2 linked regions of the Drosophila melanogaster genome follow. The protein of the gene in region 2 purifies or fractionates together with the protein of the main gene of each other region. This does not show direct contact. Each region holds a gene or a part of one and is shown on either strand. Other genes may lie near its edges. The genes, in order: Polr3H and Polr3B.

Region 1 (16,583 bases), on a different chromosome or scaffold from region 2:
TATGACTCTTTGTGTGTGTGAAAAATGGGAAAAGTGGCGCTTTGAGTGTGGCAGTGTGAGTTGGTAAAACAGAAACAGAAACCGAGGCTGAATGGCAAACGAGCCTCGCATAAACGTCGCTAGTTGTTATGGGAAATGTAAATGTATCTCATAGATACACAAGTTACAAGTTGTTTGCCTGACATGTTTGTGCGCCTCGTCCATTCTCCGTTCCGTGCTCCATTCCCCACATCCATGTCCTTCTATTGACACTTGTCTCTGTCTCAACGAGTGCGTGTGCCTGGCATAATATAAACCCACGATTTGGGGCACTATTTTTGATGCGTTGTCTTGTCAAGCGCGAATTTCCATTTCCATATCAAACAGACAGGTGGATTTTCCCTGCTTCCGTCACCTCTGCAAGCTCGTGATCCGCAGGAAATTCCCAGAAAACGAACCCAATTTATTCATAGAACGAATGAATCATTTCCAACTTTGGCGGCTGATAATTTGGTTTTTCCTGTCTACCACGAAGTCAGGAAGCACCACATTGAATTTGTGCTACTGCCCCGAATAGAAACTTAATAATTTAAAGAAAACAAGAAACGAAATATAATGGCATGATTATATGTTAAAAGTCCCAACGTCACTAGCTTACAATCACTGAACATTCATTTCTGACGACCTATTCTATAATCAGCATTTCTCTCTTGAACTCGCCAGGGTAATATTATCAAGATTAACTTATATTTACTAGCATGGCATTCAAATGCCTTATCAATAAACTGAACACAGTAAATAATGCTTTATATAGGAAAATAAAAATTATTTAAAAAAAATATATACATTATACAACATACCTTAAAAGTTTACTTTGTATTTAATATTTATCGTAAATTGACAGCACACTTTCTTAGCTTTATTTCCTTAATACTCTTTCACAATTTTTTGAATCTTTGTCTCGATAAATGCATCTTAGAATGCAAACTTATAGTTCACAAGCACACAAAACATATTATTTTCTATCTATTTTTACTGGTTCCACAATTTCGTTGAGTTTTGCTGCAATTTCATAATTTGTGATCGCAAAAACGAGTAATCCTGGCGGCCAAACAATTACCCGTTAGTGTCGGTCACAAAACGAAACTGCAACACAGGATTCGTCACCAAAACTACCAATATTAAAATTAAAATGCACTTAAAGGTGTTTCAAAAACTAGTTTCGGATTGGGATTAGATGTGCGGATCAGGAATCACGAGACGGATGCACATCGATGGGGCGCTGATAACGAAATGAATTTCAGCGATGATTGCAGGCGCGATAAATAAGCAGCGATTCCGCTGGAAGATCTGGGCGATCTGAGGGGCTTCTAACGTTAATGCCCATGCTCTGAACTCGCTCCGAGTGTAATTCAATCGATGTCACTCTGGCTGCGATCACTATCGATCCTCTTCTGCCCCTCGCACCAACGGGGACCATCCCCAATCCCACACAGCATTGCGGTCTGCCAGTGTCGCCGGCGGCTCTTAATCACAGTTTCTATCAAGAGGCAGCCGACTTAGTGCATCGCAACTGTAACTACGTCTGTGCTGGTTATAAATATACATTTGTACAGTGGAAACCCATTAAATCTCACTGTTTGTAACAGTAAAACTGGGAATCTTCTAGCTTAGTCATTATCTTAAAAACAATCCCGTAAGTTATTGTAGATTTTCCCAGTTTAATGAATGAATTTTGCTTTACAAAATGGTTTATTAGTCCTTGGTTCGCTCTACCGAGGCTGCACTGTCCCCACTAGATGTTTGTTTGCACAGAGGCGCCTTTGTCGTTGCATGTTTTTGCGGTTTTTAGCTTTTGGGGCGTCGCCGTTGCCTTCGCCATTGCGGATTGTACTGCATCCGCCGCTTGATAGATACAATTACAGTTAGCTCCTTGAGGAGCTGCGTCGCCTGGCAACTTGGCCAAGTTGGTCGTCAGCGTTACGGTTATTGTCACTGCTGTGGCTTCCCTCCCACCAGCAGCAACACCGCCTCCTCAATTACGACTGAATATGCATGAGCAACGGATTTTCCAATTCTCCTCCTAAAAGATCCTCTTGAAGAGGGAATTCCAAGAATGTTGCAACTTAATGTATAGTGCACATATAAATGTATAAATATTACTAACTAATACAATTTAAGAACCCTTTATGTACTGTAAAACATCTCCAAAACAAGCTTTGAATTCAGTTTTTCAACAGCATTAAGCATCATAGCCTATTAATCTCCACTCATTCGTTTTTCCGTCGTGGCTTCAGTTCTTTTGAAACTTCACAAAACTCCCCCAAAAACTCTTTATATACAGCGCATAAAAGCCTCGTTTCAACATAGTTAAGTCAATAGAGCAGCTGAACAGAGCGAGTTGTTTGTGTTAATTTTTCATAGGCCTCCTCCATTCAGATGGCTGTTTGCATTAGTTTTCCATTTGGCCCAGAAGCTAGTATCGCGTTTATCTTCGTGTGGATTCGCTAGTTGGCGCATATTTTGTAATTCAAAGCTATTCGCGTATGCCATGTGGTTTTTTTGGTCAGAAGCCAGACAAGAGGAGCGCTCCTCCGCTGCTCCTAGCAAGTATCCAAGTTTCTGAGTAGCTGTCGGTAACCAAAGTGGGCCAACTACACCCACTCACACTTTTGCATACTCGTACATAGTGACTCTAACTGAATACAAAGCGGCTTAGTCGAGCGGACCCTGCATTTTTCGACTTCTTCTTTTAACTTTAGGCAAGGGATGAAGTGTTTGGGGAGCAAGGGTATGGGAGTTTCCCGCAAAAACACACACACACACTCATTATGCTGCCTGGAAGTTTGTTGTCTTTGGGCGCTTTATCTTTGTTTACGCAGCCGCCGCACGTGCCCCAAACTCGTTCACCTCACATATTTGGCCAAGGAATATGGCTAATTCCCATTAGCAAAGTTTAAGCGGCTTACAGACGGTAATTGCAGTTCTACAGTCTCACCTTATGGTTCACACGTTATCCTTTATCGATTATCCATGCTCAGCAGGCGCAGTTAACCCTTTGACTTTCTGGCCACATAAGAAAATACTGTTAAATAATATTCTTTAAATTTACCCAAAATATGCTCTTTAGTTCTCGCGCTTTAAGCGAAGCCCTCAAAACCTTGTTAGTAGTGCCTTTATCCACAGAAACGACAAATAATCCCAGATTCGCAAAGGAAAAGCAAGCTGCACAAACAAGCCAGAAAATGACACGGCAAAATGTGGAACAGGGTAAACCGAAGTCGACATAAATGGAACGAGCTGAGGAACTGCCTCAGTTTAAATAAGTAGAACAGCCGCTGAGGCTGTGCGCTTTAAATAGCCGTGGTAATTAGATGCATGACACATTAGTCTATCTCAAGATTGCATGCAGCTTAGCAACAAATCTGGAGCAAGTCAGATTTAGGTAAATTGGATTTTGCCGAGTAACCACAAAGCCTAGTTACCACTCAAATGGTATTATAAGTTATAAGCTTACGTTCTGCTGAATTGTTTAAGCCATCTTAAATAAAGTAGGAAGGAAACTATTTCTCATAATATCTTTTCTATCAAGCAAGTCAAAGAAATGAAAAGTTACTTTTGAAATATAAGTGCTCAGCTGTTTTTTTAATAGACTCGATTTATTACTATATATTTATGACTGACCATATATATGTATCTTCATTTCGACCCAACACTGCGTATACTTAACGGGGTATTAAAAAGAAACTTATGTGAAACTTAAATTTCGATTTAAACGGGGCGGGGCCAACTGAACGCTTCAGTAAGGCAACATACTTATATTCGAACTCCAGAGGACTCATTTCCTGGGACGTGCTCACTGCAAAGTGGAGCATCTGCAGGCGGCTACGTGAGCCGAAGGAGTCCCAGCTGATACCCCAAAACTAATGCCAAACTCTGCCCGTTTTTCTCCTCCAATTACAGTGCACTCCCTGCCGCATCTCACGGTGCTAAGCCTCTCCGGCTGCAGCAAACTGACGGATGATGGAGTGGAGCTGATTGCCGAGAACCTGCAGAAGCTGCGCGCCCTGGACCTGTCCTGGTGTCCCCGCATCACGGACGCCTCGCTCGAGTATATCGCCTGTGATCTGAACCAGCTGGAGGAGCTGACGCTGGATAGGTGAGTACCAGTCCACCGGATCAGTGCACAAGGTCGCGTCTCCTCATTGCCCCTCACCACCCGGCTGCGTAATTATTCATGAGTAAAATTCAATTTCCGTCGCCGAGTAGCTCAACCTCATCTCCGGGGGCAACCATTAGTCCTCGAAAACTGCAGCGAGTTGCAGACAGAAAAAAATCATTAAACTTTCCCGTTTAAATTATGAACAACCATAAACAAAGCCGCTCAAAAAAGCAGAACAATTTTAAAACCAGAAACAATTTGGTTGATCTCAAATACATTACTCTTAAACATATTTAGTTTTTTATTTATACAAATATTATTATTCAATTTAATTCGTTTGCCAAGTCGTACATATAAAATACTTATTACTACTTTCATTTATAATTTAATTGAAAATTGTTACTTTACTTTTCGAAACATTTTTGAAGTTAATGACAGTTATGAATATGAGTTCACAGTTTGCTCTATCCAATTCGTATATCTCATAACATTTGTATAAACTAGAACATTTGAAGTGGAATAACTTAGAATACCAAACAGAGCAACACATTTCTTTGCCGAATACATTAGAATTTTACCCAACACTTCGCCTCTGAAATAATTTGTATTAGTAATTCCGAAAGAATCTGCGATACAAACTTGATTCTGTTCGATTTCGCCATGTAGTTGCTTCGCACATTCTTCGGGACTAATTAGCTCAACGTTATGCTCAGTAATGAGGATGCGATTTTCACTTTGTTCTGGTACAAATCTGGAGAAAGGCGGAGTAGATTCTGCCTCCATCTGATGCCTTAGCATTTGAAGCATACAGATTGGCTTGATACCTTCTGGAAAATAGTTACCTAAGGTGACTGGCTGCTTAAGTTTAAGCAGTGCTATATCATGTTTATCAAATCCTGAGTAGTTGCCATATCTAATGATCGCATCGACAGCAAGAATATTGCTAATAGTTGTAGTCAACGGTAGAACATTTCTGTATAAGAAGGTAAAGCTTTGGCTACTTGTTTTATTAATCAAGTTAATGTTACTTACACTATTTCTGGCAAGCCTCTGGCAATTGTAATAACAAAATCTAGAAGGAATGAGGGCAATTAATTTAATTGATTTTGTTTTTAGTAATCACTTTAGTATCACTTTCAGTGATAAAAACCCCATTCGCCTTAAAATTGTTTCCAAAAACAAGGCCCATTTGTAGCGATGTTATGGTATCGCCACCACAATCCTTATACAACCATATGTCCGGGTTACTAACACTTGCAGCTCTTGAGTTTCCGGTTAAAATTTCTTCTTCTTGTATTGCATTCGGAACTGATTCCTCCAAATTCAATCTATCCACATAGGCCGCAATCCAGTCCACATGGGATGTAATGTCGGTAAAGACAACTGGTCCTTTGCGGTTTGGGTTTTTATAACTTACTATCCCGATCTGAACTTCGCGTTTGATAGTTCCAGCAATGATGACGCTTTTGGTCAACGGATTTCCAGAATAGAGACCACTGGTTTCTCCATTTAAGGCACCAGCACATATTTGATTCAAACTGGGATTAATATTACACTCGTTTTGATTTAGCCTATGAAAGATAAGCTCGTGCAGATTTTCGCTTTCCAAGCCCCGACTTTTTGGAGCCCAGGCAAAGGCCTTGAAGGTTCGAATCGACTGTACGGAACTCATGATTCTCTTATCCGTAATTATGCATATTGAGTGAATGTCGGCTATAAATGAGTGGTTTTACGACTATCACAATTCCGTTTAATTGCCAACTTACCCGAAAAAACTACGCTGTACGACAGTTTAAGCAATCCAATATCATTTTGGATGGGCGATTTAGAGGCGAATCGGTGTACAACTGCTGTGGAAACCGGAATTCTAGAGTCCATAGTATCAGCATCTGGAATATTGTAAGCCCCCAACTCCACAAATCTAAAATAAATAAAAATAATAGTATAATATTGATATTTAGTAAAGATAATGATGCTTTTCGAAAACAGATATTCCTCCAAAAATATGTCAGTATCTACATAATTTGAGGATACTTACAGATTGACCTGTTGATCAATACACCGAGCAGCGGTTAGAACAATGCCTAATCAAAGATTTGTATTATCAAATGTGAGAATCTTTTATTGTTTCATTATGTATTTAAATACGAACGTTTGTGAATCAGCGTGCCACCGCACAGGAAATGCGAGGCATTACTGATGGCTGTCATCCAAGCAGCTGCCTGTAGTCCTGCCCTGTTCAGCTCCTTGGAATTTCCACAGGATTCATCCAAAAGCTTGGCTGAAACCTGGTGGCCAAGGAGCAGAGTGAACAAGGGAATCCAAGCTAAAGATGACTGCATGCTACGCGTGGCACGAAACGAATGAAACATAAAATGCAAGACCGGTTCTCACATATGAATTTCTTATCAACTGTTTCATATTCGGACTTCTTAGATTTTTTATTTACCAATTTTTTTTTTTTAATTTTAAAAAGTATTTATTTAATTCTTAAAAGTATGAATGTGTACATATATACATTATAAATAAATTTTTTTATTTGAGATTTGCCTATTGATATAAACAGTTTGTGTATGGTCTTAAACTGCGAGTTTCCGCATTTTACATCGAGTTATTTATATAATAGATTTATCTAATATCCTTTCAGGTGTGTGCACATAACGGACATTGGCGTGGGATACATCTCCACAATGCTATCGCTGACCGCCCTCTTCCTGCGCTGGTGCTCCCAGGTGCGCGACTTCGGGCTGCAGCACCTCTGCTCCATGCGGAACCTCCAGGTGCTTTCCCTCGCCGGCTGTCCGCTGCTTACCTCGTCGGGTCTGTCCAGCCTGATCCAGCTGAGGCATCTGCAGGAGCTGGAACTGACCAACTGCCCGGGTGCGTCGCACGAGCTGTTTGACTACCTGAAGGAGCACCTGCCTCGCTGCCTGATCATCGAATAATCGATGGATGGAGATGATCGGATACGGAACCCCTGAGCACTGATTTTCGATTCGGTTCGGTTTGGGTTCGGGTTCGGTGCGATGCGGCGAACCATTTGAGTATGCTAATTTGGTACACCTAACCTCCAGTCGGCAAGTTCCTCGCGTGCTATGTGACTTTAACTTTCCGTCAACACTGTACTCTATCCCTTATAGTTTTAGACTTATTTTGATTTCTGCTGTGATTTGATACGGAACTTAGTTAAGTTGATCTGTTTAAGACGATGATGTACCACAAAAGACCCGAAGATGATATTTATTTACATGCAATACAATATGTCTAATATACATATACATGAATATATATTTATATTTATAAATATACATTATTTATATTATTGTAGTTTTTAACAAACGTTTTATTTACTACTCTCGCTGTATTTAAACATGCAGACTACGTGTAAAATACTACTGAAAAAAAAAGAAAACCAGAAAAAAACCAAACTCAAAAAAATGAAAACAAAACATTGCGCCCAAAAGACGAACAAACAACAAATAGAAATTACAAAACATACCAAGTGAATCAAAATATGCAATTAATTACATTAGTTCAAAGAAGCAACACAACAACAAAGGATGAATATTTGAAAATATTTACGAGTTTAGCGAAAACGTGCAAAAGTTGCCATCAGCTTTAGATTGAAATTGCAATTGAAATTTACAAAAATCCTCGACTTTTGCATACCCTGACCAGTGAAACCTAACTTCGATTGTACCATATGACTAATCTGTAATTAACTTACTGCTACTGAAAGTATTTTAAGGTGACATAATGAGCACGCTACCAATGAGGTCAATATTTAACATAATGTTTAGCAAATTGTTGTCAAATTGCAAAATGCAATTGCGAACCATAAACAATCGACTTCTGGCCGTCAAAAGATACTCTATATATCTAGCTTACGTTATAGAGCCGCTCTCCTCATTAAACTAAAGCCCTCACTAAAACTTAATGTAAATGCTTTGTTTTTAACTCCAGTGTGAGAGTTTCATCCAGAACATTAAGCAAACTGCTATTGATGGAAACTGCAGTCTTAAACCAAGAAGAACACAACTCTACAAGTACATGATAAAATAAATAAATGGTAAAATGAATTTAATTGTGTTTTTATGGTATGGTATGGTCTGAAAATCATAAACACGCTGTGATCTAATCAGACTTAAATCAAACTTTATGGTCATGACTTCATCTTAAATCGAATTCTTAACCCTAATGTAAGTGGCATCTATACAAAGGAGTAGGCGTCAGGATCATTCTTCGCATGCGCCTTCGCCATCTTCGTCATCGTACTCCTCGTCCTCCTCGTCGTCCTGCTCATCGTCCTTTCCCTGCTGATCCCACCAGGAGAGCACGCCTAGGCCGGATTCGTTAATGGCACCCTGAAGGATAGAAGCACTCGTTAAATACAGATTTTTATCAGGGGCGGCAAAAAACTAACAATAATCCTGTACGGTGTCTTCACTTCTTGGGAGGTAGCTGATGCGACTGCAGCGGATGTGCTAGCTCCCTGCTGAGTCTGAGCCTCAGTTTTCGGTGGTCCAATGGGCGATGTTTCCTCGAAGATCTCCCGTGATACGCGGAACTTAATGGGCTCGCCAACGTCCATGAAGAGATCGTGTTTGGCGCCATCCTCGAGCGGATATTCCCAAACCCAGGCCTGTTCGGCCTCATCGAAGCGCGAAGGATGCTGCAGGGCGGCATGCGGAATGAGGATGTCGTCGAAGAAACCAAGTGTCACATGGACTCCTTCGCGGCTGCAGTTTCGAATCTTTCCGGTAATCACGGTGCCCACCATCGGCCGGAAGACCACGTACCGGAACAGAACCTCCGTGTGCGAGGCTCCGTCTCCCGGCAGGATGATGGAATCCTTCAGTGAAACAATATCCTTCAGCGCAATGCATAATCCCACGTTAAGAAGGACCTGTCACGTAGAAAATCGAGAATCAGGACGTGCACATGGAAGTCACAACTTACACACCTTATTGGCCAGCTTTCGGTCGATCTCGTCGCGCACGGCGTCCACCAACTTCAGATGGAACTGGTCCGGCGCAATCCTCACATTGTCCTTCAGCTCCGCCAGCACGAACATGTCGCCAAATTGTTTAAATATCTTCTTTTAAACTAATGCTCGTTCATTGTTTTGAATGTGAGCTACAGTACCATGTGTAGCCATAGTGTGACCACATGCTCATGCAGTATATACCAAAAATACCAATTATATGAATTTATATTGCTAAGTTAGGGTACTCCCGAACTAACCATTCGGTCAGCTGTTAAGCTAGCTGATTGCCAAAGCCAACAATTGAATTTCTTTAAATTTTATTTCAGTTGCAACAAATTAAGATACAAATAATAGTTTTCGCACGATATTAAGCCCGTTTGGCAAGACAAAATCGCTTTAATATTTATCCGCACATTTGCTTACTGCATATAGCCATCTTAGGAAAATACCAAAACAATGTCGACGCTTCTTTGTGAATGGCATTCGCAACACGTGCGATTGGTTGTACAAATTTGTGAAATTTTGAGCTTTAATAGGTTTGTGTAAATCTAGCACCGATTTAAAAGCCTTTGCCTTATAAATACAACGAGGAATTTAATACTTATTAGTAGTTACTGCGCATCTCGCGATGAACAACGACAGCCACAAATATAGCGACGCCGAGGAGGACGAAGAAGACCTGCGAAGTGTAAGCAAAGTGCTTATGAATTTACAATGAAATCTTTCTTACACTTTCCAATTTTTTAGTCCGAGTGGACAAACGACTTCAAGAACCTCACATTGAAGCACGAGATCTTTAAGGATATTAAACTGACACCCAAAGAGGACTGTGATGACCTGGCACAAGTTATAGCAACCGCCAACGAAGAGGATGAACCGGAGGACGAAGAGCCAGAGGAATACGATGAAGACGATTACGACGATATCGGAGATGACTATGATACGTATGAGGAGGCCTATACGGGCTTTAACAAGCTTCACGTTCAGCCGCAGCTAACAAATGCCAGTGGAGGTGGCTCCGGCGGTGGCGCTGGAGGTGCATCTGGTGGCTCACAACGCGTCAGCAGCTACCAACCAAACGAAAAGCTGTTGCGCCGCTACTCCGCCCGCATTAATGTAGAAAAGTACGATCCCACCACAAATATGAGCGCGCAGGCGGCCAACCGGCTGGTGAACTTCGATCGGCGCGATAGGACACAGGTGCGTGACAAACACGACCGAGCCACTGCGGAACAGGTAATGGATCCACGTACCCGGATGATACTCTTCAAGCTGCTGAATCGCGGAATGATACAGGAAATCAACGGCTGCATTTCTACGGGCAAAGAGGCTAATGTCTATCACGCCGTTTCCAAAAATGGTGAAGAGGAGTTTGCCATCAAGATCTACAAGACGTCCATTCTAGTATTTAAGGACCGCGACAAATATGTGTCAGGCGAATTCCGGTTTCGACACGGCTACTGCAAGCACAATCCGCGCAAAATGGTGCGTACCTGGGCGGAGAAGGAAATGCGAAACTACTTGCGAATGCGCAACGCTGGCGTTCCTGTACCGGAGCCAATCCTGCTACGCTCACATGTACTGGTCATGCGGTTTTGCGGTCGCGACGGATGGCCTGCGCCAAAGCTTAAGGATGTTGAGCTCAGCACTTCAAAGGCGCGAGAGTTGTACAGGGATTGCGTAGTCATCATGTGGCGCATTTACAATCAATGCCGTCTTGTGCACGCTGATCTTTCAGAGTTTAACATCCTGCTGCAGGATGGTCAGCTGGTCATTATCGATGTAAGCCAGTCAGTGGAGCACGATCATCCGCATTCCTTTGACTTCCTGCGCAAGGATTGCACCAACATATCCGAGTTCTTCCGAAAACGTGCAGTGGCAACGATGACGGTGAAGGAACTTTTTGATTTCATCACCGATCAGACTATAACCACAGAGAACATGGAGGAGTGCCTGGAACGCATATCTGAGCGAATCAAGGACCGCGATTTCGATGCCATCTCGGCTCAGGAGAAGATCGATGAGGCTGTTTGGCAGAACACCTACATTCCCAAAAGGTTGGACGAGGTATGTTTGCGCCGTGATTTAAAAATCAATGTCACATTACAAATTCGTATTCCGCTTCTAGGTGCGCCATTTTGAGAGAGATGTAGCCAAGGCCAAGCAAGGGGTGCAGCAAAATCTCATCTACGGAAAGATCACTGGTCTGACTTCGGATCTGGACGTGCAGCAAAAGCCAGACGTGCTGCAATCCTCGACCGCCAAAGAGGATGACGGTAGTGAGGCCCAAACGAGCGGCAGTGAGGACGAAGACAACTCGCAGGATAACGACAACGATGAAGATGCCAAGAAGTTTAAGAATTCGGCAAGACCACGAGAAGAGTCTCCGGAGAGTAAAAAGGCTCGCAAAAAGGCCGTCAAAGATGCGAAAGCCGAGCAGCGCAAGGTTAAAGTGAAAAAGCACGTGAAGAAACGCAAAGAGAAAATGGGCAGCATGAAAAAATAGGATTGTTTCTGAATAGAGTTAATATAGCTGTGAGTTTAAGTTCTAAATATTTTATGCAAGTTTTGTAACTTGGCTCCATCGTATATAATGAAATTATATAAAAACGATGTAGCTAATCATTTTCTTATGGTATTACTATACCAAATGGCTGCGGGGAACGCCGCAGCTATAAATGAAATATTAAACACACTACGTTACTAGTATTCTAATCGAATTTTCGGTTAATATTAAGTAATATATCTAAAGGAATAAGTGTACCTTTAGTTGCTCCACTTTATTTGTTTTTAAATAACCACCGCATCCATAGAAAGGCGTGAAATCGTAAATTAGGTGAAGTTCCTAGTTGCAGTTGCTACGAATCGCTTAGTTTCGTCGCAGTCTTTCAGCAATGTTGCTTAAAATACTTGTATTGTTTTGCACATTATTATCGGCAAAATTGGCAGAATCCTTTGTGAAACCACTGCGCTATAATTTGACAATTCTTACGCGCCTGGGGAGTGAAGATGAGCAGAACCAGTTTGAGGGCATCGTGTCCATCGATATTGAAGCGACACAACCAACTCGCGTCATCTATTTAAATTCTCTCAACATAACAATATCTAGACAAAGAACATGGATATACCGATGGGCTAGCGGCAGAAAAATCGGTGCTCTCCAGATAAAGAGAATTATTAAAAAGACCAGCTTAATTAAGATAGTAATCGAACTCCCACTCAGAAGTGGCGAGATATACACACTCAACATGTTATTCTCGGGTAACCTAGATCGGAGTCAGCAATATGGCTACTTTGCCGGCTACTACGACAAAACGCCGAGGGTTTTCTACTCCGCGACTCGCTTGGAACCGGACTATGCTCACACCGTGTTTCCCTGCTTCGATGACCCACGCTTTCGGACCCCATATAACATAACATTAGTGCACGACCGGAAATACGTTGCACTCAGCAATATGCCACCCGTAGAGGAGAAACCATAGTTAGTAAATCCTTTAGAGAACCCATATTTATAATACTAAAGTTATGTATGTGTTTCTATACTTGCAGCAAGGAGATCGAAAACTATGTGTCGACGACATTTATGGGTTCACCACCGCTAGCCACACAGCAGGTCATGTGGACTCTTCATCAATTAGAGAAAGTTTACAGTGGTCCTGCGGCTGCGGGTGAGAATATCACCGTCTGGTCACGGCCGCACTTGGCAGAGAAACTGGCGAAGGTGCCGGAAATGACGCCCAATTTGTTTAGTAAATACGAAACCTTGTTCGCATATCCATTGCCAAAAGGAGCAGATTGGGGTGGTAAGGTCGATCATGTAGTGTTGCCTAGATATACAGAAATGTATAGCGGTCAGGGCATAATGGTGTACGGCGAGGATATCGTGGACTCAGGACAAAACGGTCTTGAAAGCCTGCAGGAAACGCTTGCGGAGCTGGTAGCGCGGCAATGGAACGGATTGCTGGTGAACCTCGAAGATTCGGATGAAGAATATGTGCGGAACGGCATTAACTACTATCTGAGCGTCCAGGTGATGGCCATGGACAAAGAGGCGTATAACACGACTCACCTTTCAAAAACGCGTCTAGATGTTTTGTATCATGATTCCTTGGCCAAAGTAAAATCGATCGCTACCGATGTGAAGGAATCCGGACACCAGAAACTCCGCAAAAAGAAAATGTGTCTGCTCATCCACATGCTAAAGGTGGCCCTCGGTGATAAGTTGTTCTTGAAGGGACTGCAAGAGTTCTTTAAGCGATACGCCAACTCATCTGCTTCATCCAAGGAACTGTGGGAGGAGTTCCAGCGAGGGGCACGCCGAAGTCACCAACTGCCCACCGGTGTGAGTTTACCCACTGTGATGGAGTCATGGATGAAGCAACCAGGTTTCCCGCTACTCACCGTCCAGCGCGACGATGCGAAGCAAATTGTGACCATAACGCAGAGTCGCTATTATCAGAAATATTTGGACAACAGTTCCAATGACTGCTGGTGGGTCCCGGTCGCTTACATCGTCAGGAATCTTACGTTGCCTCAGGTGGAGTGGCTCGGCTGTCAGAAAAATAGTAGAGATATATTGGAACTCAGCCACATCGCTAATCCGGAGGATTGGCTATTAATAAATGTGGATGCTGCAGTTCCTCTTCGCGTCTTCTACGATTCATACAACTTGCAGCTGATCAGTGAGGCTCTGCGTCAGGATTTCACCCAGATTCCGGAGCTTAGTCGCATCCAGTTGGTCGATGATGCCCTCAGTCTATCGTGGTCAGGTCGGTTGCCGTATAACGTCACCTTAAACGTGATCTCATATCTTTCGAATGAGACCAGCGTTTTGGTTTGGGAAACAGCGCTTTTGAATTTGGAGAAGCTACAGAGTATCATGCGAATGACTACGGGCTTTCGTATCTTTAAGGTGGGAGCTACCAAATTAAACTTAATTTTGAATCTATATCTATCTAATATGAACCTAACTTTTTCTTAGCTTTACATGCAGAAACTTATTGAGCCAGCTTTTAAAACAACATTAAATTCCCTCTCAACAAAAGCCAGAACTGGTTCGGAAATACCGATCAATACGAAATCGCCGGTCACCACGGAGTCCTCGGGCACCACAGAATCCCCGGACACCACGGAATCCCCGGACACCGCGGAATCCCCGGACACCACGGAATCCTCGAACACCACAGAATCCCCGGACACCACGGAATCCTCGGACACCACAGAATCCCCGGACACCACCAAATCGGATTTGTCGTTGTCGGCGATTTTATACCGGCTGGCGTGTCAGTTCGAAATCAAGGAATGCCTAACGGACGCACAGCAGCGATTTCAGGCGGCGATGGACCAGAAATCTAGCTCATCCATTCCGGAGGAGATTCGGGAAATCGTGCTCTGCAGGGGCATTCGTAACGGCTTGGAGGTTCATTGGATAATGGTGCGGGATATGTTCTTTGAGTCCGAGAATGATAAGGAGAGGAGTATCCTTCTAAATTCTCTCAGCTGCACCACGGAGTATTGGGCGATGCAGAAGTTGCTCAGCTGGGCGCTTGACTCAAAAAAGGTTCCAAGAACGATGACAGCCAGTCTTCTGAGCGCCGTTTTGAGATCCCCATTGGGCTACTATGTGGGCAAACAGTTTCTCATTGACCATTCTAAGGAAATTCTGCGAAGGTAAGTATTTAAAATCTTTTAAGATAACTTTAAAAAACTGAAAATGAATATTCAAACTACTCCAGCAAGGACGTTAAATTGATTTTGACCCCGTTTATCAATGCGATGTCTACAAAAGCTGAATTTTCGGCGCTGAACGATCATTTGCATAGGAACCTTCCATCCTCAATGGTTTCTGGCTTATCATCCACGTTGGAGTCTGGTTTAGATAGAGTGAATTGGCGAAATAACTTGTACTTTGATCTGCTTAAAGCCATTCGAGATTTTACTCTGGATGATGGTCCCAAAAACAGTTCTGATTCGGACTCCAATTAACTAATTGTTAAATCAATAAAAATAGTAGTTACACAAGGTTGAATCGTCAAAACATGGGTTTTATTCTTGTACAATTCGAATTGATATTACTTTAACCACAAAAAATGTAAAAAATGTGCAGCCGTCTCCTTGCAAACAACTTGGGGATTGTCGTATCATTTAGATTTTAACCGAAATGTTATCAATATACATTTCGCTAATCTCAAGATTTCTTCGCAACGTTTGCATTATATCCGTGCAAATAATTTGGCTTTTAAAAGGCATTTGTGTATGTGAACTATATCCTAACTTAAGCTATCTTATGTTTATGTTAACCTTTGTTCTTTTTCATGGGAATGGTGCATAAGTATGTACAGGAAGTATCTATCTGTCTGTTTAAAATCGAACATCACAGCATTGACATTGCCTAAAGCTAGGGATAAGATTCATCTGGAATATTGGTTTCAAAATCAGGCATAGCATCGCTTTCGCAGGCTGATGTACATCATCACTCGGAAGAACAGCATCAGCATGGCCAGCAATCCGAACTGATGGAGCATCGACACCTTTTCCACATCCAAAAATTTGAGCAGCACGCGAGGATCGCTAAAATGACAGTATATCGCATCGCAGTCGAGTTCTTCCCGCTGAAATCCGAAGACGGCTAAAACCAACGAAACCACGCCCACACGCACATAGCTGAATTTCATCAGCAGTTGCATTCCGCCGGATACCTGCGGCGCAAAGTCAAATCCGTAGACGGCCAAACCCATCAGAGGAGCTATTAGCATCGGACCCACCACACTGCCATTCTGCAATGAGAATGAAGAGTTTTAGCCCAAAAGTATACCTCGTATGCGGATAGGAAACTCACCGTAATGCTGAAGGTGGCTCCAATTGCCAGGCCCATTCCCTCGGCCACCAATGAGATCATCAAACCCACAGCCACAAAAATGCAGAAGCGCCAGAACTGCTGCGGCAATCCGGACATCCAGTACGTGACAGCCATGAAGGTGATGTTGAGTAGCACTTGAACTGGCAGTCGCGAAACTGTGAGGGCCATGTAGTACGGGGTGAGGGTATACCAACGATTAAAGGTCTCCTTCTTGACCAGTTTCACCTCAGCGGGATCTGCAGGATAATCTTCAGATTCAGTATTCGAGTAGGAAATAAAAAACCAAAACACTTACAGCTCAAAATGGGCACCATCACCTGGGTGTACACGATCATGAGGACGGCGCCGATGCAGAATTTCAGATGATCGAACATCCGGGCACCTTGGTTGCCCAGTTGGAAGAATATCAGGCCAAAGAACAGACCGCACAGCAGGTGATGGAACAATTGGATGGTCAGTGCCAAACGAGCACGCGTTATTCTCAGTAGCATTATTCGCATAAGAACGATAAACTGACGAAACCCACATACATCCCGCCGATCCGTATGGAGTCTCTTCGAGAAGGCCTTCACTTGCTCCAACAGAGCACTGGTGCC
Region 2 (16,583 bases):
CTATTTTCAACGAGATCATCGAGACGCTTCGCCTAAAACTGACACCAAACTGTGAGCATCAGCGCACAAAGATTGTGACCTTGGGTCACATTGCCTACAATATGCCACAGGCCTTCCTAACGCCCATTAAGAATATGATTGCGCGACGAATTGTCAAAGAGCTGCTTATCCAAGAAGTTCCTGCGCAGCGAGACTACGAACTGCCAGAGGACAGTGATTGGTGTGCCCAAGAGAAACTACCGCCGGACACTCTATGTAAGCTGGATGCGCTCAAGGCTATGGCCAGGTGGCTTTTGGGATTGCGTACCGATGAGCACGCTGCCCAGAAAACATTCCGAATGCTGGCGGCGTTTGTTAACCAACGAGGCGATTTGCTCGGCCAGAACCGTCTTTGCGGTGCCGAGAAATCTTGGCTGCGCCTCGGGGCAGCCTGCGCCATGCTCAAAGTGTGCGAACAAAAGGGCGTAGGTGATCAGTACAGCGCTGAGCAGTATTTGCAGCTTTCCCAGCTGATGGTGAGTAGAGACATTCATCTTGTGCTTAGAACTTAGTCTCAATGTCTATCTCGGTGTTCCCGTAGGCTGATCCGGTGCCAGAAGTTCGGGAAATCTTTGCTCGCAAGCTGCACAAAGGATTAAGCAGAAGTTTGCCCAGGAACTGTTTGCCGCTGGACTTCATGGGCTTGTATGTGCTGGCTGGTCTAGAGACTGAGAGGAAGTGAGTAGTTCAAGAAACCATCCGATCCGTTCGGAGAAGTATTGATAAATATTTTCAACAGATTGCAAGACCTTGTGCGTCACTATGCAGAAACGGATGTAAACAAACGGCGGGAATATCTCAAGACTGTGGCTATGACATGTAGGTGTTTTACTTTTGGAATCATATTGTGTATTTTAACCATTAAATCAAATTATTCCAGCTCCCGACAGCTCAACGGAGTCACAATCATTACACATACTACCTGACTACATGCTGGCTTTCGCTATTCCCGTGCTGGTCCACGATCCACGCTTCACGAATCACGAGGACTACGTACAGCTGCGCAAGATGGAGAAGTGCCTGCGTTTCATTCTGGAGCCGCTGATGGCCAAACGAGAAACGTTTGTCCATAGCTTCTACAAGCAGCTGCTGCAGCTGATAAAGCATCGCGAGTTCAGTCTGGGGTCGGACAAGCGCGACAACTATGTATGTCACTCAATCATTTTCCCAGGCTTTCCCTTCTAAATTATATTTATACATATATTTTTCGGTTATCAGAAAATGTGGGCGCTCTGCGATCTTGCCATGTACATTATCGACTCCAAGTTCAGTCCATTTGATGGCAACACGAGCACCTTTTCCATGCCGCTGGCTTTGCCAGAAATGTATTATAAAGAGCCTGCCGTTGCGAATTTCCAAAACAATGACGTCTATATACCGCTGGACGTGTATACGCTGGGAGCCAAATCCACGAGCAAAGCTGCCGCAACAGCAATGACAACGTCGCGAGCAGCAGTGGCTCCAAAGAGACCGGCGGAACAGTCAATCATGGATGATGAAAATCCGCAGGTGAGTGAGGTCCTTGGAAAATACTGAGAATGAATCTAACTAGTGTGTGAAATTTGATTTCAGGAGAACAATCTGTTCGACAACATACGAGCGGCTGACACTACGGAGCCCATGGCCAAACGAACGCGCGCAGGAGCCGCTTCAGCCAAATCATAGGGGCTGGGATGGCGCAGATTGGAGGTGGAGAGAGCGCATACTTGTTAGTTTAGTTATGTTTAGTCTAGGCGCCTAAGTTAACTAAATATTTAAGACGTAGGAAAGACCACGATAGTTGTTAAACCGACACTACCTTTATCCACACCATGCAACTCACAACTAAGCACCCAGAATTCGGATTGTTCAGTTTCGCATTCAGTATGTACTATATCAATTTTGTGAGATACACCAAAAACACAAACATCAAAAAAAGAAAAACGAAAAAAGTGTCGAAAAATCTGTTAACCGCAACTCTGTAAAAGTAATTATTTATCATTTAAAATGTTTTATCCTGTTCTTTTATAGTGTTTGATTTATTGATTGATTTTACCATTATTCTTAGACTATTGTATATCGAATAAAAAAAGGAAAGTATATCGCGCATAAGTTAAAGTACGAAGTAAAGTAATGAAAACGTAAACAGAGCCTTATTAAGTAATTAAAATTAACTTTTCTATGATCGCAGTTAATTTTTAGTTAATGTAACATCATCATAATACATACAATTGTCTCGTTAAATTCAACAAGTATGCATTCAAAATGCATTCAAAAAGAAAACCTAAAAGCGTAAGAATTGGAAAGAAAACTACAAAGATAAAAATAAAATGAATACACACATTAAACTATAAAACATGTACATTAAACAATTATTATGGTTTTTAAATTACAAATAAACGTATGATTATTATTTAAATGTTAAAATGGATATCGAAAATGGGCTTTTAGTTTAAATTATTAAAATGTTGTACTTTTTTAATATAAAGTAAGTTTAAAAAATGGCTAAAATATAATTTTTGTTTCTAACTTTTTTCTTTTCAATTTCAAAGTCGCTCTTAGGAGGGCTAAAACTAATTTGAATATTGATAACAAATGAACTATCGATAAGAGGCCGTCGATAGTTCACGGTGCAACATCAACTCTCCCATCACTAGTTCCAATTGCATTTTCTGCGTTGTTTTTTTTCGGGGGTGTGACGTTTTTCTTGTTGTTTTTGTGCTATTGTGAAATAAACCAAACAATTGTCGAGTTAAATAGACACTGATTGTTGTTTTGCCGCGCAGTTCGAACAACGAAAACTAATTCCAAACAAAGCTTACGCCGGCAAAACCACGAAATGCAGGTGGAACCAGCCGAAGTCGGCTGTGACGTCACGCATCGCCAGCAGGAGAAAAACAAAACCAATGGGATTTTCTCAACGGCAGTCAGAAGTAAAAAAAACGGGCAACCGAACGGACGGATCTACACCTCCACGCCGAAGACCTCGCATCCGAAACTTGAGCACTACGTAGGTGTTGCTAAACCCTCGGAAAAGGGGCGAGTGGGAGTGGTGACCGCCCTCGATCCGCTGATCAAAAAGGTGGCCCTTCTCTTTGGGACTCTTATCATTGGCTACAAAAGCGTCATCTTAACGAGTAAGTGTGCCAAGCTGGGGGCTAAACGTAAATATATTGTGGGTTTATTGGATTTCCATTTGTTTATTTCTGTATATCCCCGGTGTGGCGGGGGTGGGAATTCAAGGTTGCAATTGTCGGTTGCGTCGTCTTTACTCGCACTTTGTTTATATTCTCGCGTTTATAAATAGTTGAAGTTCGTGTGATCTCATAGCGGTGGTGTTTGTTCCCCCTGCATAAGCCGCCGAATAGCGAAAAAACGTCTATATAAGGAAGGCAAATTGTTTGATGCGCATTAGCCGTCTCATTTGCATACAAACGTACTGAAGACCTTAGAAAAATCGTCAAAGAGTGATTAGTTGCTTCATCTTTGAGGCAAAATGCCATTAGTTAGTTAATTGTTTGCCCAGCGGCTATTAGTTATTCATCTACGCTTAGCTTAACGGTATTTAGCACTGGGCTTTCGTCACGCGACACATACATGTATATTCTAATGTATGTAATATAAACATTAGAAGGTACCGCTAGAAGGCCCAGGAAAATAACGAATTTTACATTTCTGACGATATAGCAATCTTTATTTGCTGCAGGTTTTGCATTAGGGTGGCTCCAAAAAAAGTGCGACAAAAAATTTAATAAAGTTTAACAAAGCTCAAAGAAAAAACACATGTTTAATCAACTATTTGTTAAATAATTCAAACATATAAATTTGATATAAGCAGAAAACAAATTTTATACATTGTCGAGAAAAGAAATAATTAAACCAATACAAACGAATATTTATTTCCAATCTTTCCCATCGGTCCAAATCTATAAAAAGCGCAACCTTGCTATTTATGGTGTAACGAATGGGGTTTCTGTACATTTTTGCAAATTTCTTTGCCCACTAATTCTTTCCATTTAGCCAAATTGCTTTGATTCCCTCATAGCGTACATATCTGACTAATAAATTTGAACCACCCTAGTTATAAACCCAACATTTTGACGTGTTTATCACGCTAGGACTGATAACAGTGAAATCAATAGAACGACACTCAAAATGAGATACTAACGAGCTTTGGGCGTTCTCTTTGCAGTGCCATACATCACGGGCGATTCCATCCAGGTGCTGAGCCACCAGGTGCAGAGTAGGTGGAACGAGACCTTGGTGTGGGCCACCAGGCACCAGCTGGGCTCCAGGCTGAGTCCCCTGCTGTGTGGCCTTCTAGTGGCAGCTTTCGCGTACGGAATCGTGTACTTGGACAGCGCGGTGCCCGGCGTAAATCCCCCCTCGCCCTTTACGCCGCGTTCCAAGAAACGGTAAGCTCTGGGGAAATCACCTTTAATTATTCATTATAACATGGAGTCTTTACTTCAATTTGCAGTTTCCGCGAGGAGAAGACTGCCTCGATGCACTTGGGCTACTTGTGCGCCCTGTTCTGCGGATTTCTGGTCACGGTCTTCATGTACTTCGACTTGTACTCGTAGAACTGAATACCCATTTCCTTCCAATTAGTTCAATAAGTTCACCAGTATTAGACTTTATACGCCCACTTCGGAATTTGTATTTGTTGTAGTCCTTGAAACTGTGCAATGCTCCTGGAGAGAATCGTCAGGGGGCATTTTGAAGCTAACTTATTTCCTAGGTATATTAATTATAAGTTACTAACTCTATAAATTATTCATGATTTGTAAACTACAAAAGTACAAAATGAAACATTTCACTGTTGATTGGAGGCCAGGATCGAAAAGCTTAGGCTAGCATATTTATACCTTGTGAAAAGTACACTATCGCCTGGCCTAAAAATCTCAAGAAAACTGTATCCTTAAAAAATAAATTACTTTTGCATAGTGTTTTGCAATAAAATATACGAGGTAACATTTTCAATGCGCAGAAATTGCTGTTGCCAGTCAATGTCGCTTACCTGGTCAATCTTAAATGTTTTCAAGCGATTTTCGCCAATAAACTGGCCCACGAGATGGACAAAGCAGCCTTTTAATGAATAAAACTTTGGTTATGTAATGGTTATCAGTTTCCTGCATTTTACCTGGGCTCCAAGTACTCATAACGCCTTCGAAATCGTAGTAAATTCCCTGAAGGACGGGCCCCGATTCTTTGTTTCGCACGAGCAAGGTGTGTTCTCCACGTTTTCCCACAATGATCCGTAGCAATTTTCCTGAAAAACGATAATTAATGATTTAACTTGCCAAATTTAGCGATATTAATCATTCTGTTTAAAATGTATATAGTAATTTGATTTTGAATGTATTTCAGTTCAGACCCACCGTAAACATTCCAAATAGCATTAATTTCCGGATACATTTTTTGAGTTTTAAGGCAGAAATCCACGCGACCAATTAAACTAATTAAGTTTCGTCCTGGCTTCAACATCGGGGAGCTTGGCAACTCCGCTGATTCCTTTTTGGCTGACATTTCGCAACTGGATTTTTCCAGAATAATCGGTGATGGAACGTTCTCCTTTTTGGGCTGAACTTTCACAGCTTCCTCCACGAATCCATCGTATATTAGCTTATTATCCTTACGACAGACAGTTAGTTTTGTTTGCCGCAATTGGGTGCTATTTTTGCGCAAAAGTTCAGCGGCCGTTGGAAAACTGCGATTCAATTGCGAGACGTTGTTGGTCAGTTGGCTCTTAAATTGAGCTTGGTTGTTACCCAGAGGGGTGCGCGGTTTAACTGAAACAATGTTAATTTTTTGTTAATTTATAAATAGTTCTCAGTATTTAATTGCGGAACTTAACCTTTAGCAAACATTCTTGCAGCCATCAAATTGTAACGGCTATATTCCAATCAGCCTGACCATTTTAATTTTGTCTAAGAATACTTTTACGATTCGTTAAGTGTTGGCTAACGTTGGGAATCGACCACATTACTGAACAAATCGATTGTATCGAATACATATCGATTGCACCTCCAACTGTCCACGCGAGAGTTTTATATATTTTATTTTTACATGCATATTTGTTGATAACTGGGGTTTTCTGTGAACCGCGTTTAACTCTCAGCCAGCCATGAGCACAATATTGGAGAAAATCTCGGCCATCGAGTCGGAGGTGAGTGGAACTTGGAGTACCTGCCGATCTTACAGAAACTAACCTGTCTCGCATCCATTTACCCCGCGGATTCCCCCCTGGATTCTATCTAAATCACCGGGTTGTTGGACCACCTTCTCAACTGAATCCTAGATGGCCCGAACCCAAAAGAACAAGGCCACCTCGGCCCATTTGGGTCTACTGAAGGCGAAGCTGGCTAAGCTGCGACGCGAACTGATTTCCCCCAAAGGAGGCGGCGGCGGAACCGGCGAAGGTAGGCTCTTGGATATATAATTCAGGCAATCACTAAACATTATGTATTTCCAGCTGGCTTCGAGGTGGCCAAGACTGGAGATGCCCGGGTGGGATTCGTAGGGTTTCCTTCTGTGGGTAAATCCACACTGCTCTCCAACTTGGCTGGCGTTTACTCCGAGGTGGCGGCATACGAATTCACAACGTTGACCACTGTGCCGGGATGCATTAAGTACAAGGGCGCTAAGATCCAGCTGCTGGACTTGCCCGGTATCATTGAGGGCGCTAAGGATGGCAAGGGTCGAGGTCGTCAGGTGATTGCTGTCGCTCGCACCTGTAACCTCATTTTCATGGTGCTGGATTGCCTGAAACCGCTTGGCCACAAGAAACTCCTCGAGCATGAATTGGAGGGCTTCGGCATCCGGCTTAACAAGAAACCACCAAATATCTACTACAAGCGGAAGGACAAGGGTGGCATCAATCTGAACAGCATGGTTCCGCAGTCCGAGTTGGACACGGATCTGGTGAAGACCATTCTATCCGAGTACAAGATCCACAATGCGGACATCACCCTGAGATACGACGCCACTAGTGACGACCTCATTGACGTTATCGAGGGCAACCGCATCTACATACCCTGCATATATCTGCTGAACAAGATCGATCAGATCTCCATCGAGGAGCTGGACGTCATCTACAAGATCCCGCATTGCGTGCCCATCTCGGCCCATCACCACTGGAACTTTGACGATCTGCTGGAGCTGATGTGGGAATACCTGCGACTGCAGCGCATCTACACCAAGCCCAAGGGCCAGCTGCCCGATTACAACTCGCCCGTGGTACTCCACAACGAGCGCACCAGCATTGAGGATTTCTGCAACAAGCTGCATCGCTCCATTGCCAAGGAATTTAAATAGTGAGTGCGCTTCACTTTCCCTCTGTTCCCTTGGTTATAATAACATTTATGTATTTCCTTCGTAGTGCGCTGGTTTGGGGCTCATCTGTGAAGCATCAGCCACAGAAGGTGGGCATCGAACACGTTCTCAACGACGAGGATGTGGTCCAGATTGTGAAGAAGGTTTAGACTCTGTGCAACGATAACACTTTGATTACTTGATGGCATTTTTTATTCGAAAATAAAAAACGAATGTGCTTTATGTGTGCGTGGATTTAAGGCGGCTTAAGTTTAAGAAAACCCTCTAATTTTTATTTTATCAAATTTTTTAATTGGCGCGCACAGAGGTAATTTAAATAAATTAAAGCTAGATTTAGCGGGAATTAATTTCACTGCCAGCTCTATGGGAATAACTTTGCTATCACTTGCCCAAGTATATCGATAACCGATAGGTAAAGAAACCGCATATCGAAGAACCTCATAGCACGCTGTTTTGTTGACAAACTTAAATTAAATTATTATAACGAAATGGTGGAGCTAAAGATGGGCGATCACAACGTGGAGGCCACCACCTGGGATCCCGGCGACAGCAAGGACTGGTCGGTGCCCATTAAGCCGCTAACGGAGAAGTGGAAATTGGTGCCGGCATTCTTGCAAGTAAAAGGATTAGTGAAGCAGCACATTGATTCCTTCAATCACTTCATCAACGTGGACATAAAAAAGATTGTGAAGGCTAACGAGCTGGTTACCAGTGGAGCTGATCCTTTGTTTTACCTAAAGTACTTGGATGTGCGGGTGGGCAAGCCGGACATCGACGATGGCTTCAACATCACCAAAGCGACCACACCGCACGAATGCCGTCTGAGGGACACCACGTACTCCGCCCCCATCACCGTGGACATCGAGTACACGAGGGGAACCCAGCGGATCAAGCGGAATAATTTGCTCATCGGAAGGATGCCCCTCATGCTGCGCTGCTCCAATTGCGCCCTTACCGGCAAGTCGGAGTTCGAGCTGTCCAAACTGAATGAGTGTCCACTAGATCCTGGCGGCTACTTTGTGGTGCGAGGTCAGGAGAAGGTTATCCTCATTCAGGAGCAGCTGTCATGGAACAAGATGCTCACCGAGGACTTCAACGGTGTGGTGCAATGCCAGGTTACCTCCTCCACACACGAAAAGAAGTCACGTACTTTGGTGTTGAGCAAGCATGGAAAGTACTACCTCAAGCACAACTCGATGACGGACGACATACCCATTGTGGTGATCTTTAAAGCTCTGGGCGTAGTTTCCGATCAGGAAATTCAATCGCTAATTGGCATTGACAGCAAATCGCAGAATAGATTCGGTGCCTCTCTAATAGACGCCTACAACCTGAAGGTCTTCACACAGCAAAGGGCTTTGGAGTACATGGGTAGGTTTGTTTACCCTAGTTAAATTTTGTTCTTAAAATACCTTTTTTTAGGCTCCAAGTTGGTGGTCAAGCGTTTTCAGAGTGCCACCACAAAAACGCCATCGGAAGAGGCCCGTGAGCTGCTGTTAACTACCATTTTGGCGCATGTGCCTGTGGACAACTTTAACTTGCAAATGAAGGCCATCTATGTATCCATGATGGTGCGTCGTGTTATGGCCGCCGAGCTGGACAAAACGCTCTTTGACGACCGCGATTACTACGGCAACAAGCGACTGGAGCTGGCAGGTTCTTTGCTCTCCATGATGTTCGAGGATCTGTTCAAGCGCATGAACTGGGAGCTTAAGACCATTGCGGACAAAAATATACCCAAGGTGAAGGCGGCGCAGTTCGATGTGGTCAAGCACATGAGGGCGGCACAAATCACAGCGGGACTGGAGTCTGCTATCAGTTCCGGCAACTGGACGATCAAGAGATTTAAGATGGAAAGAGCTGGCGTAACGCAGGTTCTGTCCCGTTTGAGTTATATCTCAGCGTTGGGAATGATGACGCGTGTGAACTCGCAGTTTGAGAAGACGCGTAAGGTGTCGGGACCCAGATCTCTGCAGCCCAGTCAATGGGGTATGCTGTGTCCCTCGGACACTCCAGAAGGTGAGGCCTGTGGTCTGGTCAAAAATCTGGCTCTGATGACGCACATCACCACCGAAGTTGAGGAGCGACCCGTTATGATAGTGGCTTTCAATGCTGGCGTGGAAGACATACGAGAAGTGAGCGGTAACCCCATCAATAACCCGAATGTATTCCTCGTCTTCATCAATGGTAATGTTCTGGGTCTCACCTTGAACCACAAGCACCTGGTGCGGAACCTTCGTTACATGCGCAGAAAGGGTCGGATGGGCAGCTACGTGTCTGTGCACACATCATACACCCAGCGATGCATCTACATCCACACGGATGGCGGTCGTCTGTGCCGCCCCTATGTAATTGTGGAGAACCGTCGCCCGCTGGTGAAGCAGCATCACCTGGACGAGCTGAATCGAGGGATTCGTAAGTTCGACGACTTTCTCTTGGACGGACTAATCGAGTATTTAGATGTGAACGAGGAGAACGATTCGTTTATCGCCTGGAACGAGGATCAAATAGAGGACCGGACTACACACTTGGAAATCGAACCCTTCACTTTGCTGGGAGTTTGTGCTGGATTGGTGCCCTATCCTCATCACAATCAGAGTCCCAGGAACACCTATCAGTGTGCTATGGGTAAGCAGGCGATGGGAATGATTGGCTATAACCAGAAGAACAGGATTGACTCGCTGATGTATAATCTGGTGTATCCCCATGCTCCTATGGTGAAATCCAAGACTATCGAGCTTACCAACTTTGACAAATTGCCTGCTGGTCAGAATGCCACTGTGGCAGTTATGAGTTACTCTGGCTACGACATCGAAGATGCGCTGATCTTAAACAAGGCGTCGATAGATCGGGGATATGGACGCTGTCTGGTGTACAAAAACTCAAAGTGCACTGTGAAACGGTATGCGAATCAAACCTTCGACAGAATCATGGGTCCCATGAAAGATGCGCTGACGAACAAGGTTATCTTCAAGCACGACGTTCTGGACACTGACGGAATTGTGGCTCCAGGCGAGCAGGTTCAAAACAAACAGATCATGATTAACAAGGAAATGCCCGCGGTAACATCGATGAATCCGCTGCAGGGTCAGTCTGCACAGGTTCCCTACACCGCAGTACCCATTAGCTATAAGGGTCCCGAGCCCAGTTACATCGAACGCGTTATGGTTTCCGCCAATGCCGAGGAAGACTTTCTCATCAAGATCCTGCTGCGCCAGACACGTATCCCCGAGATCGGGGACAAGTTCAGCTCTCGGCACGGACAAAAAGGCGTGACTGGGTTGATTGTTGAACAGGAGGATATGCCCTTTAATGACTTCGGCATCTGCCCGGATATGATAATGAACCCACACGGATTCCCCTCCCGTATGACAGTGGGTAAAACGTTAGAGCTGCTCGGCGGGAAGGCTGGTCTCCTGGAGGGCAAGTTCCACTATGGAACTGCGTTCGGGGGCTCCAAGGTGGAAGACATTCAGGCGGAACTGGAGCGCCATGGTTTCAACTACGTGGGCAAGGACTTTTTCTACTCCGGCATCACAGGAACACCACTGGAGGCCTACATCTACTCGGGACCCGTGTACTACCAAAAACTGAAGCATATGGTGCAGGATAAGATGCATGCCCGTGCCCGGGGACCCAAGGCGGTGCTCACCCGTCAGCCGACGCAGGGCAGGAGTCGTGAGGGTGGCCTTCGTCTGGGCGAAATGGAACGGGATTGTCTCATTTCTTACGGAGCTAGTATGCTGATCATGGAGCGTCTGATGATCTCATCGGATGCCTTTGAGGTGGATGTTTGCCGGACTTGCGGCAGGATGGCCTACTGCTCCTGGTGTCATTTCTGCCAGTCGTCGGCCAATGTCTCTAAGATATCCATGCCGTATGCATGCAAACTGCTCTTCCAGGAGTTGACCAGCATGAATGTGGTGCCGAAAATGATTTTGGAAAACTATTAACGATGCAATGGCCTGAAACCGAATAAAATAATTGTTATATAATAATAATGGTTAATGATGGAAACTAGCTTAGGTTTTCCAATATTTTTGTAAAAACGAATGGTGTGTGAACTCTGGCAAGGGCAAAAATCCTACGCATTCATTAAGTTTCCATGACCGCGAGCTGCAAATGTCAAAATGAAGAGGTTCAAACGAAGTCAGCGAAAGAAAGTCCTCTTGAATTTTAACGAGGTCCTTTTGCATATCAGCTTTCTGTTCGTTAACAGGCAGACGCAAGCTGTTACTGAAAAGGACTGAGCCGTGTTAAATCGCTTATGTTATCCTTTTTTTTTATTGCGCAAAGGATAATTAGTTGTGTCTGCCCTTTTGGCCGAATTTAAAACGTCTGTGTCTGGACAAAAGATTAAGTTGTTAAGATGAAATGTTTTTTGTTATTCTGTTTCTTTGTTTGCTCTTTGTCCTTATAATCCTCTATCTTATGTGTATTTTGTTTTTTGGCTCAGTTAAACTAAACATTCTCGAGCGGCTTGATGCTTCTTAGTAAAACCAATATCGCCAGGCGTTGATTTATTGTTTTCCCTCGATATTGCCTATTGCCTGATTGCCCGTGAGGCAATTACCTGTCACCTGGCTTCGAGGTGGAGCTCAACCCAGATTCCGGCCGATGTGTCAACGTGTCCGTGGTCAATGCACCGCGGTGCATGCACGTGACCTGCGAACTGCAGGCGACACAGCCACCCACACAAGCCAATGTCCTTGTGCGTCCTTTCGAGTGACCTGCGCTTAAAATAGTCACAGCTACCACCCACTGCTGCTTCTCCTCCGCAGGACACGTAGAAGTTACTATGTGCAGTGCAATGACAGCAAACGGGGCAAACTGCCAGCAGCAGAAGCAGCATCAGCATCCGAGGAACCAATGGTGCGCACTAGGATGACAATTTAAGGCTGCCCCATCTCTGATCTCCCCCATACTTGCATGCCCACCTCTTTTCCGGGCTATTCAGTACCGTTTTATACGTGGAAAAACTTTTGAGAATTATATAAAGTTAGTTGATATTCGTATGACTAAAAGAAAACTACTCATTCCTATTTATACCTACATACCTTTATCCTTTATGGAATCCATTTGCTCAATTAGGCGCTGATAAGTATGCAATAAGTTATAGTTTTTATTAGTTTTTAGTATCATAACAGAATCTTTATTTTTCGCCGTGCACAAACTGATGAGAACCCAATCTGGGGCCACCTTCCGGCTTTGGCTTTCCTTTCATGTATTTTGGCCATTTGTCAAAAGTTTGCTTTTTGCTCTTCTTATCTGGACGGTTCGTTGATGTGTGCATGGCAATAGATGTATATAGATTTAAATGGGTGTTGGCCACTTGTGTAGAAAGTTAAGCGTAGTCCAACTGCTCTTTTGGCCGGGTTCCAAGCGGGCGAGGGGATTTCGAATTGACAACACCGGATATCATTGGGCTGATAATGCGCAACCCCTCCCAATGGACTAATTGAATCCGAAAGCACCTTCCGATGGAAATAGAGATTAGATTGCTGGAATCACCTTAACTTTTCAGCCAGGATTGTTCCAGCAAACTCTTTGTGTTTTCTAGGGACTAGGCCACAGCCAAATGTTAACATATTCAGCGAGAGAGAACGTGTTTTTGACTATGTTTGTTTTCTCTTTGTAAGCTTTATGTTTCAATATATTTAAAATTCTAATCTGTTTAGTGTTTTCTTTTAGAAGCACATTATTACCTATTTTACAAAAAATTGATACAATATTAATTAATTAAATAACCAAAATCTACAGGGAATAATTTATAAAAAAAAAAATATAAAAAAAAAAAGTGTTAGGCTTCAAAAATATGTTTACTTATCATGATTAAAAAGAAACATGGCCAATAGGACATAAAACAAATATTATTTGAACCTATCAGTTAACATTCATTTAAAAGCGAGCACTCGCAGTTCGAACTCAACATCTGTTAGAAGCCCTTTCTCTGCGTATAAAAGGCAGTGCTTTTGAGCAAAACGCGCTCATTTCAAAACCGGTGCTCATCGCAACGAAAGCTCCGCTGCGGAGCCGAGAAAATATTGTTAATTCCCATTTGAAGTGCAGCTTGTGGAAGGAAATTCCAAGTTTGTTTGTTCGGACGCCGAGTGCAAGTGCAAGAAGCAAGCGAAAAGTAATCAAATCTATAGAAAAGTCATTTAATGTGGAGCAATTAAGCCTGGAAATAAAGTGCATAGTGAATAAGTAATTTAGTTGGAGCAAACAAAGCCATGGAGACTGCAGCGAACTCGGGCGACTCCAAAAAGCCTTTCAAAGTGAGTTCCCCCTGTAATTGTAAATGGAAATAAAGGCCGCAGACGAACAATTGCATTTTAAGTGCATGCATTATTTTCCTGGCATGTCCATTTTTGGGCGTTGTTGTTTTCGCCTTTGTTGTTGTTGGCCGCGTGCTGCGTTCGCTACTTTTTTTCCTTTTTTTTTGGATTCTTATGGAAACTGGGTTGAACTTCAGAACTCAAGAGAGCCAAAAGCTCAAGCTAAGAGAGTGCCGAAAGCTCAGTAATAAGCATTAACTGCCTGAAATTTGACTTTGCAAATTCAAAAACACTATTTAGTTGCTTTCTTTCTCTTTGTCCTTTTTTTTACATGTTTGTCTAGCTTTGCATTTGCCTTTTGATTCGAGTATTGGGAATTGTTTGCCTTTAGCATTTGTTTTACTTGACTGCTGGGCCATTGTTTCCTGTTTAATTTGTTTATCTGCCGCTTAAACAGCAGAAAGCTGTTTAAAGTATTATGGGGATGTAAAAAACGTGCTTAAGGTTGCAGAAAACCACTGGAAGTACATGCAGCTGACAACTCAAAGGAAACCAATAAACCACAAAGCTATTTAAATTGTCTGTGAAACACAGAAAACAACTTTCGTAAAACATGACTGGAGATAACATCCAGGAATTCCCTCCCCCACTTTATCCATTAAAATGCCGCTCCTTATTAAAATATTTAATTCAAAAACCACCAAACGCAAATCGGCTTAAAAGCTGTCAAATACCATGACAGCCATGAAAATGCCATTAAAAAGGGAAAACTTTTCATCCCGACATGTCGCTGTAATTAGCCAACAGCCACGCCCACGACCCGCCTCAGGCATTTTGTTAATAATTTATTAAACAATCTACATAATGCCGCGGCATAGTTCAAAAGCAATTTAAAGTTGTCGCCTAATTTCCCCAGCGACTCGAAAATCTGCGGCCTACGCCCATCAAATATTAAAATGTCCTGCGACTTGTGGATTCTGCCCGCATCTTGGATGCAGATGATAGAGTTCCTGGCACGTCTCCTTCGGCTGCTCCTAAAACGGAGCCAGACGCCGGAGGTCGTTGCACGTTCATCTACGTACGTATGTGTGGACCAGGACCCTCGGGTCCTGATGGCTGAGCAGCTCGAGTTAGTTGAGATTTATAAGCCCTCAACTCGCTGCTGCTCTACCAATTTGCCCAAGTCGTTTTGCATACACTTTTGTGTATAAACTGGTCTTCTAGAAAAACACTTAACTGATTTCATCTAGACTTTCACATACATTAGCCTGAACTTGTAGTGATGCTAGTTTGGAAATTTGTATCTTAAACAGTAGCAAGTAGGTAACATTTGTGTTTGCTCATTTCAATATTTAAATATTATTCTTATATTTAAATATTAAAAAATAAAGTTTTACTTACCACGATGTGCCAAAAATTTGCTCTTAATGATATAACCTAATAGCATTTCCATTCAAGAAACAACTTGAAACACTTTTGAAACATGTTTACTTTCCGAATAAATCTTGTTTCTGATTTGTATAAGCTTTGTATAATTTTGCGGGTAATTAGATAAACTGCTAATTGAATTGCGACCGCTTGAAAAATCGACGCCACTTGAAAAATCAACTAATGCGATCGACTAAAACTTTTGACAAGTTTCCGAACAAAAACTATGCTTTTGTTTTCGATGCTGCCGCGACTCCCACTTGTCAAATGCGCCAGTAGTTGGGCAAAGTTTTCATTGTTACAAAGTTCTAGCCCCACACGCCGCATTCATGATATGATTAATATTTGGAGCTTTCGCGGCACAAAAGTTATGTGGCTTTAAGTATTTATAAGATAATTTAGGGACGACCTCCTCCGCTATCTGAGCAAATGGAATTGGGATGATAGAGCAGCTAGGCGCACGAGTAAAATGAAATGTTCGAAATGCAAACTCGAGTACAATTTCATTTAGTCACGGTGCTCTCAAATATTCATGAAGGACCTCAAGGAGTTGCACGCTGTCCGACGTTTCGGGGCTATAAATTCTGGGTGGAATGCATTCGTGCCGCTTGCTCCCTTAAAGTTGCGCCTCCTTGAGCCTCCATCTGGACGGGTCTAATTTATGTTTCGTTTAACCTTAGTGCTGAGGCATCATTTAACATCGCATGCAAGTTTAATAGAGCCAAAGGCTTGCGTCCTTCGTCCTTGCAACCGGCGAACAGCACTAACCTATGGCATTCGCGAAGGAGCATGCAGCATGAAGAATGCTGACATGCATAACTTGTCAAATAAAAAGAAAATTTAAAAGGATACGCCAGGGAATCGGGGAGTGGGAGATAAACGACAAATATTTGCACCGCAGCTGCTAGAGTGCATGTCAAACTGCGTTCGAGATCTCGAGCAAAAGTAGAGGAGCTCATGGAACTCGGCATTCGCAACTGAAATATGCACAAAGTCGTCGGGCTGTGGGAGGCACTTTAAGGTGGTGACATCCCCCACCGGGAAAAAGCCGTCCATAAATCTCAATTAGAGCAAATGGACATTTGACAGCAGGACATGACGTGGTCGCAAATATTGCGTTCATTTATTCATTGCGATTTTTCGGGGAATGGAAAACAATCAGCGTCGAAATGTGGTTGTGTATTTATTATTTAGCAACTTGCGCTACTATTTATCTTTTCTCTTTGTTTAATGGAATTTTCAAAGATTGCCTAATTAAATAACTATAAAAACAGGGTAAAGTTTGCGTTGAAAAGAGAAACAGACTGAATAATTAAGTGCAAGCGGGAGGATAATGAATAAATCAGGCGGAAAGTTTCCATAGTTTCTCCATTCCGTTCACGTTGTTGTCTCAAGAAAAAGGGTGCAGCTAAAGGAAAATTTACAACTTTTCCCATTTCGATGTTTTTCCGTTTTCTTATTTTGGGTGCCGACGATGTGAATATTTTATAGGACCTCAGTTGTTTCCCATCTGACATTAATTTA

What was found.
Region 1: the proteins of Polr3B (region 2) and Polr3H purify together in Drosophila melanogaster (affinity purification with mass spectrometry, with the first as the bait; one large-scale study listed by BioGRID). This does not show direct contact.

Annotation. Positions count from the first base shown.
Region 1 is NT_037436.4:11,641,473-11,658,055, reverse strand, and holds Polr3H (RNA polymerase III subunit H), read right to left. Parts: upstream 9,301-16,583; 5' UTR 9,216-9,300; coding exon 9,105-9,215; intron 9,048-9,104; coding exon 8,565-9,047; intron 8,506-8,564; coding exon 8,377-8,505; 3' UTR 7,557-8,376; downstream 1-7,556. Other genes in the region: CG32085 (uncharacterized protein), read left to right, coding at 3,943-4,138, 6,789-7,086; RIOK1 (RIO kinase 1), read left to right, coding at 9,757-9,816, 9,876-11,195, 11,257-11,634; CG6071 (uncharacterized protein), read left to right, coding at 12,023-12,609, 12,678-14,040, 14,110-14,798, 14,864-15,113; CG32091 (uncharacterized protein), read right to left, coding at 15,563-15,904, 15,967-16,223, 16,283-16,583.
Region 2 is NT_033778.4:12,031,278-12,047,860, forward strand, and holds Polr3B (RNA polymerase III subunit B), read left to right. Parts: upstream 1-7,763; 5' UTR 7,764-7,841; coding exon 7,842-8,724; intron 8,725-8,775; coding exon 8,776-11,306; 3' UTR 11,307-11,346; downstream 11,347-16,583. Other genes in the region: pds5 (precocious dissociation of sisters 5), read left to right, coding at 1-515, 581-717, 779-858, 920-1,185, 1,258-1,548, 1,612-1,704; CG8321 (uncharacterized protein), read left to right, coding at 2,858-3,155, 4,211-4,433, 4,499-4,601; CG43191 (uncharacterized protein), read right to left, coding at 4,952-5,106, 5,162-5,290, 5,400-5,810, 5,876-5,888; 128up (upstream of RpIII128), read left to right, coding at 6,146-6,187, 6,320-6,440, 6,494-7,334, 7,400-7,502; Drep1 (DNA fragmentation factor-related protein 1), read left to right, coding at 13,587-13,631. UniProt on the Drosophila melanogaster protein: DNA-dependent RNA polymerase catalyzes the transcription of DNA into RNA using the four ribonucleoside triphosphates as substrates. Second largest core component of RNA polymerase III which synthesizes small RNAs, such as 5S rRNA and tRNAs.